Linked DNA regions of Arabidopsis thaliana. Each later gene encodes a partner of the first gene's protein in a complex. Each region holds a gene or a part of one and is shown in the gene's direction. Other genes may lie near its edges.

The links. Proteins that work in one complex are often made in the same cells at the same time.
Region 2: ARP6 (region 1) and SWC2 share a complex: the UniProt entries of both Arabidopsis thaliana proteins name them as parts of the SWR1 chromatin-remodeling complex.

The regions. Positions count from the first base shown.
Region 1 is NC_003074.8:14,092,019-14,099,076, reverse strand, and holds ARP6 (actin-related protein 6), read left to right. Parts: upstream 1-3,488; 5' UTR 3,489-3,600; coding exon 3,601-4,473; intron 4,474-4,556; coding exon 4,557-4,620; intron 4,621-4,699; coding exon 4,700-4,784; intron 4,785-4,869; coding exon 4,870-4,920; intron 4,921-5,002; coding exon 5,003-5,065; intron 5,066-5,156; coding exon 5,157-5,286; 3' UTR 5,287-5,421; downstream 5,422-7,058. Other genes in the region: AT3G33530 (Transducin family protein / WD-40 repeat family protein), read right to left, coding at 5,628-5,937, 6,052-6,105, 6,201-6,274, 6,439-6,531, 6,610-6,754, 6,936-7,057. UniProt on the Arabidopsis thaliana protein: Component of the SWR1 complex which mediates the ATP-dependent exchange of histone H2A for the H2A variant H2A.F/Z leading to transcriptional regulation of selected genes (e.g. FLC) by chromatin remodeling. Binds to the promoter region of FLC chromatin.
Region 2 is NC_003071.7:15,406,122-15,413,312, reverse strand, and holds SWC2 (DNA binding protein SWC2), read left to right. Parts: upstream 1-3,400; 5' UTR 3,401-3,624; intron 3,625-3,858; 5' UTR 3,859-3,882; coding exon 3,883-3,950; intron 3,951-4,088; coding exon 4,089-4,158; intron 4,159-4,335; coding exon 4,336-4,407; intron 4,408-4,509; coding exon 4,510-4,553; intron 4,554-4,637; coding exon 4,638-4,911; intron 4,912-5,012; coding exon 5,013-5,088; intron 5,089-5,161; coding exon 5,162-5,281; intron 5,282-5,374; coding exon 5,375-5,443; intron 5,444-5,542; coding exon 5,543-5,585; intron 5,586-5,800; coding exon 5,801-5,866; coding exon of another isoform or gene 5,867-5,942; exon of another isoform or gene 5,943-6,051; coding exon 6,052-6,247; 3' UTR 6,248-6,266; intron 6,267-6,342; 3' UTR 6,343-6,691; downstream 6,692-7,191. Other genes in the region: UGT73C2 (UDP-glucosyl transferase 73C2), read left to right, coding at 1-271; UGT73C1 (UDP-glucosyl transferase 73C1), read left to right, coding at 1,307-2,782; AT2G36730 (Pentatricopeptide repeat (PPR) superfamily protein), read left to right, coding at 6,740-7,191. UniProt on the Arabidopsis thaliana protein: Component of the SWR1 complex which mediates the ATP-dependent exchange of histone H2A for the H2A variant H2A.F/Z leading to transcriptional regulation of selected genes (e.g. FLC) by chromatin remodeling.

The DNA.
Region 1 (7,058 bases):
GATAGGCTAGGATACCACTATACTCGATTACCCCATCCTTAGGAATTTCTCGTCTATATTATTTCTCTGTTTTATCGTTATCGCTTAATCATTCTCATTGCTTGTTTCTTAGTTTTTGCAATTACTCAACCAACTTACTCGACCACACCCAGTGTCTGGCAACAGACTGTGCAGTCGAGTACAGTTATCTTGTTTCCTGTCTGTTACTCGACCAGTATACTCGACCACACCCAGTGTCTGGCAACAGACTGTGCAGTCGAGTATATCTGTTTCATATCATGTCTGTTACTCGACCAGTTACTCGACCACATCCTACTTCTGGCATCAGCCTGTTGTAGTCGAGTGATTTTAGTAATTCTGTTATTGTTTCTGTTTTCTGCATGTTCGCTTAGGACTGTTAGAAACCCCAAAACTGTTATTGCTTGGCTTGACTTAGTGACTTCTGATCACATCTCATTTGTTTGTATCACACTCATTTGGATTGACACCTAAAATACTACAACGACAGGATAGTGTTTTAGAATTAATTGACTAAAAACCTATTATCAATATTCTTCCCTAACATAATCATTATCAGAATCTTCATTAACCCCACACTCTATCATCAGCGGTTCAATAACAGTTTCAGAAACTCCATTCTCTAGCATCATAGGTTCACTAACTGTCTCACGCTGTTCCTCTAGTTCAATAATAGGTTCACTAACTGTCTCACGCTGTTCCTCTAGTTCAATAATAAGTTCATTAGTACTCAGAATTCCTGTATTTACATCCGCAACCATTACAACATTGGCAGCCAATTCCCCATAATTTACACCGCATGAACTTCTTCGCTCTACTATTGGAACTTGCCTATTATTACTTTCCAAATCACTGCATAACTCTACATGCAAAACAGGTCTAAATCCCTCTTTATCCAATGACGTTAAATATATCAACACATCCTCATTATCTACAATATAAGACTCTCTCCATGCTTTACATATCTTGTAACTCAATTTCAGATTCCTTTTCTCTCCACCTAGAGCAATCTTTCTACAGATCTTATCTATTAAATCCGCATATGTTATTCTCTCCAAAGATGATGTCTTAAACACTATACCGTATATTGAATTTTTGCAACTTCACTCATGGTCTGCTGTATAGTACCCTCCATAGTCAAAGTGTAGGTTCATCTGGATCCTCTTCTTCATCGCCTCCTACAAATATAAACACTATATTAGTACCAGTTGAACCACGAGATGTACCAGTGTCTGATTCAATTTCAGTTCGTCCATCCATTGTATTATGCAAATATGGTTTGATTCTGCTTACACATTGATTCAATTCAATTACATTGTACTAACTATAATACTTACAGGAGATGGAAGAACTAAAGAAGGATCGTTTCCAGAGTAGCCGCAGCAAAGATCAATAAAGAATTCGATCCAATAGTATCGACTCACGTAGCACGCAGCACCGGAGAAATCGACGGCCGGAGAATTGGATTAGCTGACCTAGCAAAGTTTCCCCAGACTCGACGGAGCCAATGTCAAAAATCACCGATGTTGGAAGTTAATCGGAAATCGCCTATCTCGTCGGAATTAAATGAATTGGGTCGGAATTAATTGGGTTGGGTCGGGATAATTTCGATTTCGATTTGGATTTTGTTTTTGATTTTTCTTTTAAAATTAATTGATATAATTCATTAAGGGTAAATAGGTATTATCCACTACAAGAGTGGCATGCAGATCAAAAGATGGCACGCCGGATTCAAATTTCCAGTTTAGTGGCATTGTTGATTAGGACTCCTTCAAGTTGGAATAGGACGGTCGGAGATCGCCGTGGTTTTTACCGTCGCTGTCACAATCACAGCCAGAGCCGCAGTCACTTTGCTCATTCCTTTGCAAAACCCTAAAAAAATTATTGGGTTGGGCTTTTGATTGTATGTTGGGTTTTTTAATTGTATTGGGCTTTTATATTATTTGTAATGGTTTATTTTAGTAGGGTGAATTACAAAAATGACGGTTTTTGAAAAAGTTATTAAATATATAGCACCATAATGTGTGTAATTCATTTGATAGCACATGTCAGTTGTGAAAATACACCCAACTCCTTCCCAACGATGCGCTTGGAGAGAAAGAGAAGCCACAGGAGGAAAGAGAAATATATATGAGTAATATATATTCACCCCTCTTGATTTTGTTTACTTTATTAGTTTAACAATATTACTTGGTTAAAGTTAAAGATACTATTGAAAAAACAGATTTTTTTTTTGTTTATCTAATATGATTTGAATTTTAAAAATCGGAAACGAATTTCTTAAAAAATGAATAGTGGTATCAAATTCTATACAGATCATCATAGAAAGATAGAATATTATATATTTGTTCAAATAGAAACGTTTGTTCCGATGAATCCAAATAATCAATTAAATACTTTTTGATGGAAGGATACTAAACCCTAAGATAATATATAGGGAACCCAAGACTTTTAATATAAAACACTAATCAAATCACTTAATATCCTTAATCAAAACAAACAATTCATTTTAAAACATATATAGTACAAGGTATACGTAAATAGTATACCCAAAAAGTACAACGACGCCAATAAATTAGAGAGACCCAAAAAAAGAAATCAAATGAAGGAAACAGAAAACAGAGATTGATCAAATTCAGCGCTTATTAGCGAGAATCTCGACTAATTCAATTTCAAAAAATAAAACCAAAGTCTCTTAAAAAAAACCAAAGACTCCAACAAAATCTGAAGTCTTGCCTGTGTAAATCAAAACCTCTAATTCAATTTCGAGCAAAACCGAAATGTCATTTCCGAAAATTAACTGTCTTGCTTCTGTGCCCAATACACCTCTGTTAATCGTTGGCAAAATCAAAAGCTTCATAAACGGTGGACTGAAATTTATTAGAGCCAAACCCATGTTCAAAAGTTAATAGTTAGTGAAAGAGAATAATTGGTTTTCTATGGAAGGGAGAAGATGAAGAGCGTGTATTTCAAACAGGGATAGTATTGGCATTATTACAGAAAATACAAACAATATTGGTTACTTTTTTTTAGAGTGTTAGTTACCTAATTATAATATTTTTGTAGGTTATAAATGTAAATTTCCCATTTTAGTATTTTACTAGATTTGTGTTTGTAATAGAGTAATTGTAATATGTAAACCAAAATGAAAAAATCTATAAACCAAGAAAAATACAAAATCCAGTTCATGTTCAGAACATAAATTTTAGCTAATAACCGATCCGAATTAACCGACTACCGAACTGATCCGAACCGAATTTTAATTCGAGTCTATTCAGTGAAATTTTCAAAACCCTGAATTTTCCTTAAACCGAATAACCCGATCCGACCAACCCGATTTAGTCGAACTCCCGGGCCTACTAACTTTTGTAGCGTTTAACGGAACAACCGGACCGGTTTTAGTAATTTCCCTAATTCAAATTCACTCTTCCCTCAGTTTGAAATCTCTAAACTGGTAATTCCAATACAGTCTTTTCTTAAAATCGCACTAGCTTAAACCAGTAGATCCTAAACCGATTCATTTAAACAACAAAAAACCACTTACAGAGTTCGTTCGCCGGCGGCGGCGAGTCATCGTCATCAATGTCAAACATCGTTGTTCTAGACAACGGCGGTGGTCTAATCAAAGCCGGACAAGGCGGCGAGCGTGATCCCACCACCGTAATCCCGAACTGTCTCTACAAACCTCTCTCTTCCAAAAAATTCATCCACCCATCACCACTCACCACTCTCTCCGACGAAATCGACCTCACCTCCGCCGCCGTACGCCGCCCAATCGACCGTGGCTACCTCATAAACTCCGACCTACAACGCGAAATCTGGTCACACCTATTCACTTCCCTCCTCCACATAGCTCCTTCCTCCTCCTCTCTCCTCCTCACCGAAGCACCACTCTCAATCCCTTCCGTTCAACGAACCACCGACGAACTCGTCTTCGAAGATTTCGGATTCTCTTCTCTCTATATAGCTCATCCTCAATCTCTTGTTCATCTCTATGAAGCTAGTCGTCAGCCTGATTCAATCCTCTCAAAGACTCAGTGTAGTCTCGTTGTTGATTGTGGTTTCTCCTTCACTCACGCTGTTCCTGTTCTTCACAATTTCACTCTTAATCACGCCATTAAGAGGATTGATTTAGGAGGAAAAGCTTTTACTAATTACTTGAAGGAATTGGTTTCTTATAGATCTATTAATGTTATGGATGAAACTTTTTTAGTTGATGATGCTAAAGAGAAGCTTTGTTTTGTTTCACTTGATCTTCTTCGTGATCTCCGCCTTGCTAGAAATGGGAACACTCTTATCAAGTCTACTTATGTTCTTCCTGATGGTGTTACACATACCAAAGGCTATGTTAAAGACCCTCAAGCTGCTAAGAGGTTTCTTAGTTTGTCAGAGAAAGAGTCTGTGGTGGTGATGGATAAGGTTGGGGAGAGAAAGAAGGCTGACATGAACAAAAATGTAAACTTTTTTTCGATTCTTTTGTCTCTGTGGTGGTGGTAGGGATTTCTCTCAAGTTTGAGGTTTTTTTTTTGTCTTTGCAGGAGATTGATTTAACGAATGAGCGTTTTCTTGTACCTGAGACGTTATTCCAGCCTGCAGATTTAGGTTTGTGTTGATGAATGTTAGAATGTAGTTGTAGATAGAAGATGATGATGAGATGGTATTTTATTTTGTTTTGGGATAGGGATGAATCAGGCGGGACTTGCAGAGTGCATTGTCCGAGCTATAAACTCATGCCATTCTTACTTGCAACCAGTTTTGTATCAAAGGTGGTTTTCAAATGGATTACTTATTTTTAATCTTCTGCTGTTATTGAATGAGCTTTGATGTCTAATGTTTGATGTTTTACCGCAGCATTATCTTAACTGGTGGAAGTACATTATTTCCACAACTTAAGGAGAGACTGTAAGGCTAAATTTATGTGATGAATCATTCATTAGTACTGCTTTATTATTAGAGAAGTTGATGGTCTGAGACATTATTGCAGAGAAGGAGAGCTTCGACCACTTGTCCCAGATCACTTTGATGTGAAGATAACAACTCAGGAGGAGTAAACAACCTCAATCCTTTTTTTTTTTTTTTTTTTACTCTTTATATTTGCAGCTCTTTCTTTGTTATTTTAACTCCTTTTGTATTTGCAGCCCCATACTAGGTGTATGGAGAGGTGGTTCACTTTTGGCTTCCAGCCCGGATTTCGAGTCCATGTGTGTCACCAAGGCTGAGTACGAAGAACTTGGATCAGCTCGGTGTCGTAGACGATTCTTTCATTGAGGCTAACCAAAACAATATCACATGAGTTGGTTGTAAGTTGAAATTCTTCACATTATTTGTCGTATATTGTAATGCATGTATTGTTTTTCTTCTTCCTCTAATTTGATAAACTTCAAACCGTTTAAGTAATAACCAAACAACAAGAGAAAATTATCTTGTCTTCTTAAATCAAGTTTACACAGAAGAAGGGTTTAGGGTACAACATGCAGAAACATTATCTATATCACAAATACAGTAATATTTAAATGCAAAAACTTGTTTTTGTTGTTGTTCTTCAAAGATGATTTCATGTGCGTAATTTTGCATAGCCAACGAAAGAGTTTGGTAGTATAGTTTCCTCATCAGTCGGTGTAGGGTTGAGAGTCCATGCACAAATGCACTAGCTTTCTCTGGTACTGTTGAAAGTATTCACAAACCGCTGTCACTTCTTCCTTCCCTGATTCAAGACCAGGCAGATCGGGCAGCGGTACTGTGCCATCACCAGAAGCAGATTCAGACTCCTCGTCTTGGGTTGATAGCTCGGTTATGATTTCTGAATGAATCTCCTGACACGCGAGGACAAACATGGCTACTGTATCAGGCTGTTGCACCTCTCTGAGAGCTGCAAGCGCCTCTTGCAGGGAACCAGCAGCCACATATAAAATAAGGGCCCTGCATTAATAAAATGAAATTCTTTTCTCATCATCGGAACTGTTTGAGGAATTTATGTCACATTTAAATTTTCTAAGTTAAACTGTATTGAATGTGAGCATGATGATAAAGTACCGCCAGACGTTGTGCTCCGCATGGAGAACATGATCAGCCCACCTTTGCAATACCCTGAGTAGATAGAGAGATAGGAGTAGTTACAACGACTAGTAACCAATAATAGGAAATAATAATTAGATCTAGAAGTAAACCGTAGAAGAAAAGACCTGGCATAATCCGATCCTTCTAAATGTGTTGCGGCCAAGGTAGCAGCATCGGTCCATCGTCCAGAATCTTGGAGCTGCATATTAAAAAGTATAAAATATTCTGTGTCTAAAACGTTGCCTATTATTAAACCAAGCTAAGAATATTCTCGAATAACTAATGAAATGACAATTTCAGTGGAAGCATAGTTCCGAAGAATATGCAATATGTAGTATGACCAAGGAAACAAAGAAAGCTAACCTGTGAACAAGCTTCTTGGTGCCTACCAACGGCACATAAAAGATGAGTACCAGTGAGTGAATTGTCGGTCCTTACCATGTTGGCTGCAACAACCTACGTGTGGAACAAATGTGATGGAATGATTTTTTTACAAGGACACGAAAGATTATCCAATATAGCAAAGACAGATACCTTTAGTGCAAGGTCGAGAAGAGATTTAGACACAGCAGAAGCGAGTGCAACAGCTCGGAGAGCATTTGGATAGAAGTATGGAGAATCTGGAGCTGAAGAAAGCAGCAAACTAACAGCAGCTTCCAAATTTCCAACTGATATCAGCCTGGTCAAAGAGGTTACCGATACAAGATCAACACAACTACTTTTTCTCTCAGCTTAAGATGCTTCTAAAATATATAGTTTCCATTTTACACAGGAGCTACTACTAAAACAAAACCGTAATTTCAAGTAATAAATTGAAAGGACAATAAACAGTAAAGACAAGCTAATGGTGAAATACTAACTCGTGTACTTGTTTCTGAATGCAATCTTCTCCGTCTAATTTTTCATGCCAAGGAAGACGTTCATTGGCACGCGTCCGTAATTCTTCTCGCTCAAAAGCCATCAATCTAAGTGAACCATCACAC
Region 2 (7,191 bases), on another chromosome or scaffold:
GCAGGTGCTAAAAGCAGGTGTAAGTGTTGGGGTTGAAGAGGTCATGAAATGGGGAGAAGAGGAGAGTATTGGAGTGTTAGTGGATAAAGAAGGAGTGAAGAAGGCAGTGGACGAAATAATGGGCGAGAGTGATGAAGCAAAAGAGAGAAGAAAAAGAGTCAGAGAGCTTGGAGAATTAGCTCACAAGGCTGTGGAAGAAGGAGGCTCTTCTCATTCTAATATCATATTTTTGCTACAAGATATAATGCAACAAGTAGAATCCAAGAGTTGATTGTATATATTGTTGTTGTTTGTTAAATCATTGTGCGTGCATGTAATATCTTATCAGTTATTTGTTGGGTAATCGAATTCGTCTTGTTTTGCTATTAGAATTATGTAAATATTTTAAAAACTACAACTTATATACATTGAAATCGTAGAAAGAGCCAATGTCTAATAATTTCATTGTATAGACAGCTGCGCTGGTAGTCCGGCGGAGTTCAACTTTCCTAATTCTTCTAGCGGTTTTAGGCTTATTATCAATAATGTTTTTTTTAAAGAAATCTACAATTTCCCTAATAATTCCTTTTATGTATATCCGTTTATAGTTTTTCATATTTTAATAGCTATACAAAATTTGATTTATCTTGTCACCAATCTGAATTTCAAACAATCAAGATATTTGTCATAAGGAGATTTTTTTTTTTTTTTTTTGTGCACCTAAGGAGATTTTATTTTAAATGAAATTTTCATTAAGAGTTTTGATTTTTCGGAAGAAAAAAAAAAGAGGAAACAAAAAATACGTTTTTAAGAAAACAACCAAGTATTTCACATATCCTAATTTAATATCCTATCAAAATCAGTCGTCATAAAGCAAAAAAAAAAAAAAAAAAAAAAAAGACTAGAATAGCTAGAAATCTAGAGTACACACTTTGATTTAGTTTGAAGACAAATGTTGAGGCTTGTTTGTCCATACGACATAAAAAGAAGGAGAGACTGAGATATTCCGAATTTGATTTTTCTTTCTTTATTCGTTTATCCAATACTAATTTTTACGGCTATAAACTTTTCACTATCTTTTCGACGTACCTCTAGCTAAAAGATATTTTCTCTTAAAATTTTGGGCTTATATGAATACAAAAGAACATATGAGTGCCCGCCACGATATGTACTGTGAACCACTTAGTGTGTTTTGTAACTATTACGAATAATAAGCCAATTTCCTTTTGTTCTTTCTTACATCACATCTTAATATATGTAGGCACAGAGAAACACACACATTATCGGAACCAAAGCAAAAAAAATAAACCTTAGAAGAGAGTTCCTCATGGCATCGGAATTTCGTCCTCCTCTTCATTTTGTTCTCTTCCCTTTCATGGCTCAAGGCCACATGATCCCAATGGTAGATATTGCAAGGCTCCTGGCTCAGCGCGGGGTGACTATAACCATTGTCACTACACCTCAAAACGCAGGCCGGTTCAAGAACGTTCTTAGCCGGGCTATCCAATCCGGCTTGCCCATCAATCTCGTGCAAGTAAAGTTTCCATCTCAAGAATCGGGTTCACCGGAAGGACAGGAGAATTTGGACTTGCTCGATTCATTGGGGGCTTCATTAACCTTCTTCAAAGCATTTAGCCTGCTCGAGGAACCAGTCGAGAAGCTCTTGAAAGAGATTCAACCTAGGCCAAACTGCATAATCGCTGACATGTGTTTGCCTTATACAAACAGAATTGCCAAGAATCTTGGTATACCAAAAATCATCTTTCATGGCATGTGTTGCTTCAATCTTCTTTGTACGCACATAATGCACCAAAACCACGAGTTCTTGGAAACTATAGAGTCTGACAAGGAATACTTCCCCATTCCTAATTTCCCTGACAGAGTTGAGTTCACAAAATCTCAGCTTCCAATGGTATTAGTTGCTGGAGATTGGAAAGACTTCCTTGACGGAATGACAGAAGGGGATAACACTTCTTATGGTGTGATTGTTAACACGTTTGAAGAGCTCGAGCCAGCTTATGTTAGAGACTACAAGAAGGTTAAAGCGGGTAAGATATGGAGCATCGGACCGGTTTCCTTGTGCAACAAGTTAGGAGAAGACCAAGCTGAGAGGGGAAACAAGGCGGACATTGATCAAGACGAGTGTATTAAATGGCTTGATTCTAAAGAAGAAGGGTCGGTGCTATATGTTTGCCTTGGAAGTATATGCAATCTTCCTCTGTCTCAGCTCAAAGAGCTCGGCTTAGGCCTCGAGGAATCCCAAAGACCTTTCATTTGGGTCATAAGAGGTTGGGAGAAGTATAACGAGTTACTTGAATGGATCTCAGAGAGCGGTTATAAGGAAAGAATCAAAGAAAGAGGCCTTCTCATAACAGGATGGTCGCCTCAAATGCTTATCCTTACACATCCTGCCGTTGGAGGATTCTTGACACATTGTGGATGGAACTCTACTCTTGAAGGAATCACTTCAGGCGTTCCATTACTCACGTGGCCACTGTTTGGAGACCAATTCTGCAATGAGAAATTGGCGGTGCAGATACTAAAAGCCGGTGTGAGAGCTGGGGTTGAAGAGTCCATGAGATGGGGAGAAGAGGAGAAAATAGGAGTACTGGTGGATAAAGAAGGAGTAAAGAAGGCAGTGGAGGAATTGATGGGTGATAGTAATGATGCTAAGGAGAGAAGAAAAAGAGTGAAAGAGCTTGGAGAATTAGCTCACAAGGCTGTGGAAGAAGGAGGCTCTTCTCATTCCAACATCACATTCTTGCTACAAGACATAATGCAATTAGAACAACCCAAGAAATGATTGTAACTTTTCTTAGATTGTAACTTTTCTTTTGTATTACCCAAAAAAAATGATTGTGACGTTTGTTCTCGATTACTTCTCTTTGTTCAAGAACAATTTATGATAGTTTTATTTGAAATTGTCTCTATTATCGAATCTTATACTAACATCTTAGTTAGTACATACTTATTAAGCATTCGAATTCGTACACTCAAATTGAAGAAAAAAACACAATTTCTTATATACTTTTTTTTTTTCTGTAGCTTTAGAAGAGTGTAGAAACCTTCTCCAGTGGTCCTGCATGAGATCGCAACTTCGATATTGCTTGCTCCTTGGAGTTTAGAGGAGTGTAGAAACACTTTTTGTTTGTTTACTTTTGCTTTCTCGATCATGACAAGTTGACAACTCGTGTTATATCCAAAATGACATCATGCATGACTTGAAAATTGAAATCTATCTATGATATTACCATTTCTGGACAATTTTGTTAACCGATTTATATATCTTAACATCTTTCTTTTTTGGTATTATTTACGTTACGATTTTTCATCGTAAATTTAATTTAAAATTTTATATATGCCAGTGTAAAAAGAAATTACTCAAGGTCATTAATAAAAATAAAAATAAAACGTTTTTCCCCAGCGGTCTATCATTGTAAGTTTTATTTTACAAAAAGAATCTTCTAATATAATATGGGCTTTGAAAATGTCTAAGTGGAAGGCCCATTAATATCTCAAGTCCAATAACAATGGTGTACGAACCAGCGGCACCGTGTGTGAAAGAGTGAATCAAAGAGGTGCGGCGGTCGCCGGCGAAGACGTGTGCTCGTCGAAGAAACTTCTCCAACCTAAAATTTTCCGAAGGTAACTCCTCGAGCGAGATTTTAAGCTCATCACACAAATTACTTTTCATTCTCGCTTTCATGGGCTCTTCTTCGATTACTGTGTACATCACTCAAATTTTGGGTTTTTGTTCCTGTTTCCCTCTCGATATAATCGTAAAGTCTTGAAATTGCGAGAAACCCTAATTTGGGGGTTCCTTGCTGATTTGTTAATTTGTGTGTTATGACATTTTCGTTTAAATTTGTGAACTTGTAGAAGTAAGAGTTGAGCAAGTTATCAATGGAAATCGATGAAGAAGAGCCAATGGTGTTCTTGGACCGTACAACAAGAGCAACACGGGGTAAACGGTAAGAATTACTTGAGCTTAAGCTTTTACCTGATGAATGTGTTTCACCTGAAGATTGTGGTTTTGTCTCACTGTTATTGAGATGTATCAGAAACTCTCTTGTGGAAGCTTTATTCATCAGTTTTCTGTTTTTTTTCAGGATGACCAAGTTGCTTGATGACGAAGTAGAAGAAGATGAACAGTTTTGGAATCAAGAAGCTCTTAAAGAGGTTTGTTTTGTTTTATATATAGCTTACTCTCTTAAAGAGATGTTAATGATTTGTTAAGGTAGACTAGATGTCAAAATATATAATGGAAAAAAATCAGATTTGTAGACAAGATACTATCGCAGAAACTTTCGTGTGTTTGCTGACATTTATGTATCTCTTTACTTTTGTTATCTGCAGGAAGAACATGATGATGAATATGAAGCAGAACGTGAGGTTGCTGATGAGTTTGACAGTGACTTCAATGACGATGTATTTATGTCTTGCTTATGTATTGAGTACTTATTCATCAAGGTTTTTGCTTATATTTCCATTCTTTTTAATTTCTTTCTTTTGCCTTTTGTTTGGGATTAGGAGCCTGAGCCTGATGCAGTCGCTGTAAATGAAAAAGAATTGAGGTTTGAATTTTTTCAAAGCTTGTCTTATGATGGCTATTATGTGTGTCTGTTTTAATTTTGTTACAATTTTGCATATTGTTGTAGGGATCTGCCAAAGAAGCGGCTGATTTACCCTGGGAAAACTGCTTCAAAGAAAAAGAAAAAGAAGACGAAGGTAGTTTCACAACTAGAATATATTCCTGGAGATGAGAAGCCAGGTGAAGAATTGGGAAACAAGGAACAAGAAGAAAAAGAAGAGAATGAAGCACAAGAAGATATGGAAGGTGAGAAAGTCATTAGGAAATCAACACGGACTTCAGTGGTTGTACGGCAAGCAGAAAGAGATGCATTGCGTGCTGCTATACAAGCAACAACAAAGGTTTCTCAGAACTCATCCCCACTAGCTATTTACATTCATGGCTACACTTTAATCTCTTTTCTAAGTCTTGCCATGTTGAATTCTTTTTTGTGTTTGTTCAGCCAATACAAAGGAAAAAAGTAGGGGAGGAAAAACGGATGACCCAAGAAGAAATGCTGCTGGAAGCTGCTCAAACAGGTTTGGCTTTTATGATGCTGCATCTGATTTGCTCTATCAGAAACTCAAAATTGCTAAAGTCAGGTTCTTGCAGAAATCATGAACTTGAGGAATTTAGAACGTGTCTTGGCAAGGGAAGAAGAAGTAAAAAAGAAAGCGATTGTGCATAAAGCAGTCTACAAGGGTCCTCAGATTCGGTATCATTCAAAAGATGGTAAGCTCTCCAGTAAAATAGTAATCCAGTCTAATTGGATCTTTCCAGAAAAGTAAGAACTATATTTGTTTAAACTTTTAACTTTACATGCAGGATGTAACTATTTAGAATTCTGTAATGGTGCGTCATTCAATTCAGAGTTGTCGACGAAGTCTGTTCCCTGTAAGTAATTTTGAGTGGTGTTTGGAGATGAACATAAATGTGTTCATATTGATCTATACTGATCTCTGTCTTTCTTTTGGTTTGTTTTCTCTTTTCCAGATCCAGAAAAAGCTGTATGTGTGATTACGGGATTACCTGCCAAGTAAGAGTTTTTCTGTTCTTCTTCTTTATTCATCGGAAGAACAAGATCTCTGGGATGAACACAAGTAGACTCTCTTAGGTCTACTAAAAAGAAGTTATCAGTTTCTTTGATATATACTTCTCGAAAAGAAATGATGTTATAACCTAGAAACCTGATTATCTTTTCTCTGCAATTTTAGAACTAGTTCTTAGCTGTTGTGTGTATTGCTGATACAGGTACCGGGATCCAAAAACGGGTCTTCCTTATGCAACTAGAGACGCCTTCAAAGCAATACGTGAAAGGTGTTGCTTGATCCAATTATTGCTGCATCGATGTTTTCACTTGTCTATAGAAGTATTCATCTGTTGTTTCCTCTAACGGATCAAGCAAATGAATGTTATCGAGTGAAACAGGCCTTTGATATTTACATTGTCTTTATTAGTGTTAGAATCTGATATTTCCCAGTCTTATGTTTATTGTTCTGAAGGTTCATGGACGAACATGATGGTTTGAGAAAGAAAATGGAGATGGGAGATTTGTTTGATACACTAGTGGCGAAAGGTTTTGCAACAAAACAAAAGAGAACGAAGATTCCAAAGAGTAACAAATCATTTTCCCTCAGAAGCTCAGCTCGTTTCCTTAGCTCCGAGTCTGAAGAAGAGAGTGAAGAAGATTCAGATTAATAAACACCTCCCTGATTTGGTTAGTATATTAATATAAAGCCTTTAGTTTTCATGAAACATGATCATGAACTCACAGTTGTAATCATGCTCTGCAGAATCTGCATCTCACATGATTGTGATACATCATTCATGGATCTTCCCACGACCATGGTTTTGGTTCTCAGAGATTAGAAGCGAGAAGAACATTCATGGAGGAAATTTTCATGATCAGAGCTTTGAAATGGAAACAACAACACTCTAATCAGAGATTGATCCTCCTAACCAAAACCTCTGACACCCATCTCAGAATCAGAGAGAAAGTGTAATCTTCTGTATATTACTGACCTTGTAAAGATGATATGTTTTGGTTGATAAATATCAATTTCACATTAAACCGAACCGAATAAGCTTTTGATTTTACTTCGGTTCCGTTAAAACCGTTCCAAATCTATAAATATATCACCGATTTGAAAATTGAAACTTTTTGCGATTTCTAAGAGCTCCAATGGCATAATGATTTGGAGTTCAGATTCATGCTTCAAATCCAGGAAACACCAATGTCTTATCTTCCTCAAGCTATGTTCCTCAATTAAACACCTTCTACAGATCCATGGTCAAATCCATCTCTCCTCTCTCCAAAATGACAGCTTTATCATCAGCGAGCTTGTACGGGTTTCATCACTATCCCTCGCCAAAGACCTTGCCTTTGCGCGAACCCTTCTGCTTCACTCTTCAGATTCGACTCCTTCTACTTGGAATATGCTCAGTAGAGGCTATTCTTCAAGTGATTCTCCTGTGGAATCGATTTGGGTTTACTCTGAGATGAAGAGACGAGGAATCAAACCTAATAAGCTCACTTTTCCTTTTCTTCTCAAGGCTTGTGCTTCGTTTTTAGGTCTCACTGCTGGGAGACAGATTCAAGTTGAGGTTTTGAAACATGGGTTTGATTTTGATGTATATGTTGG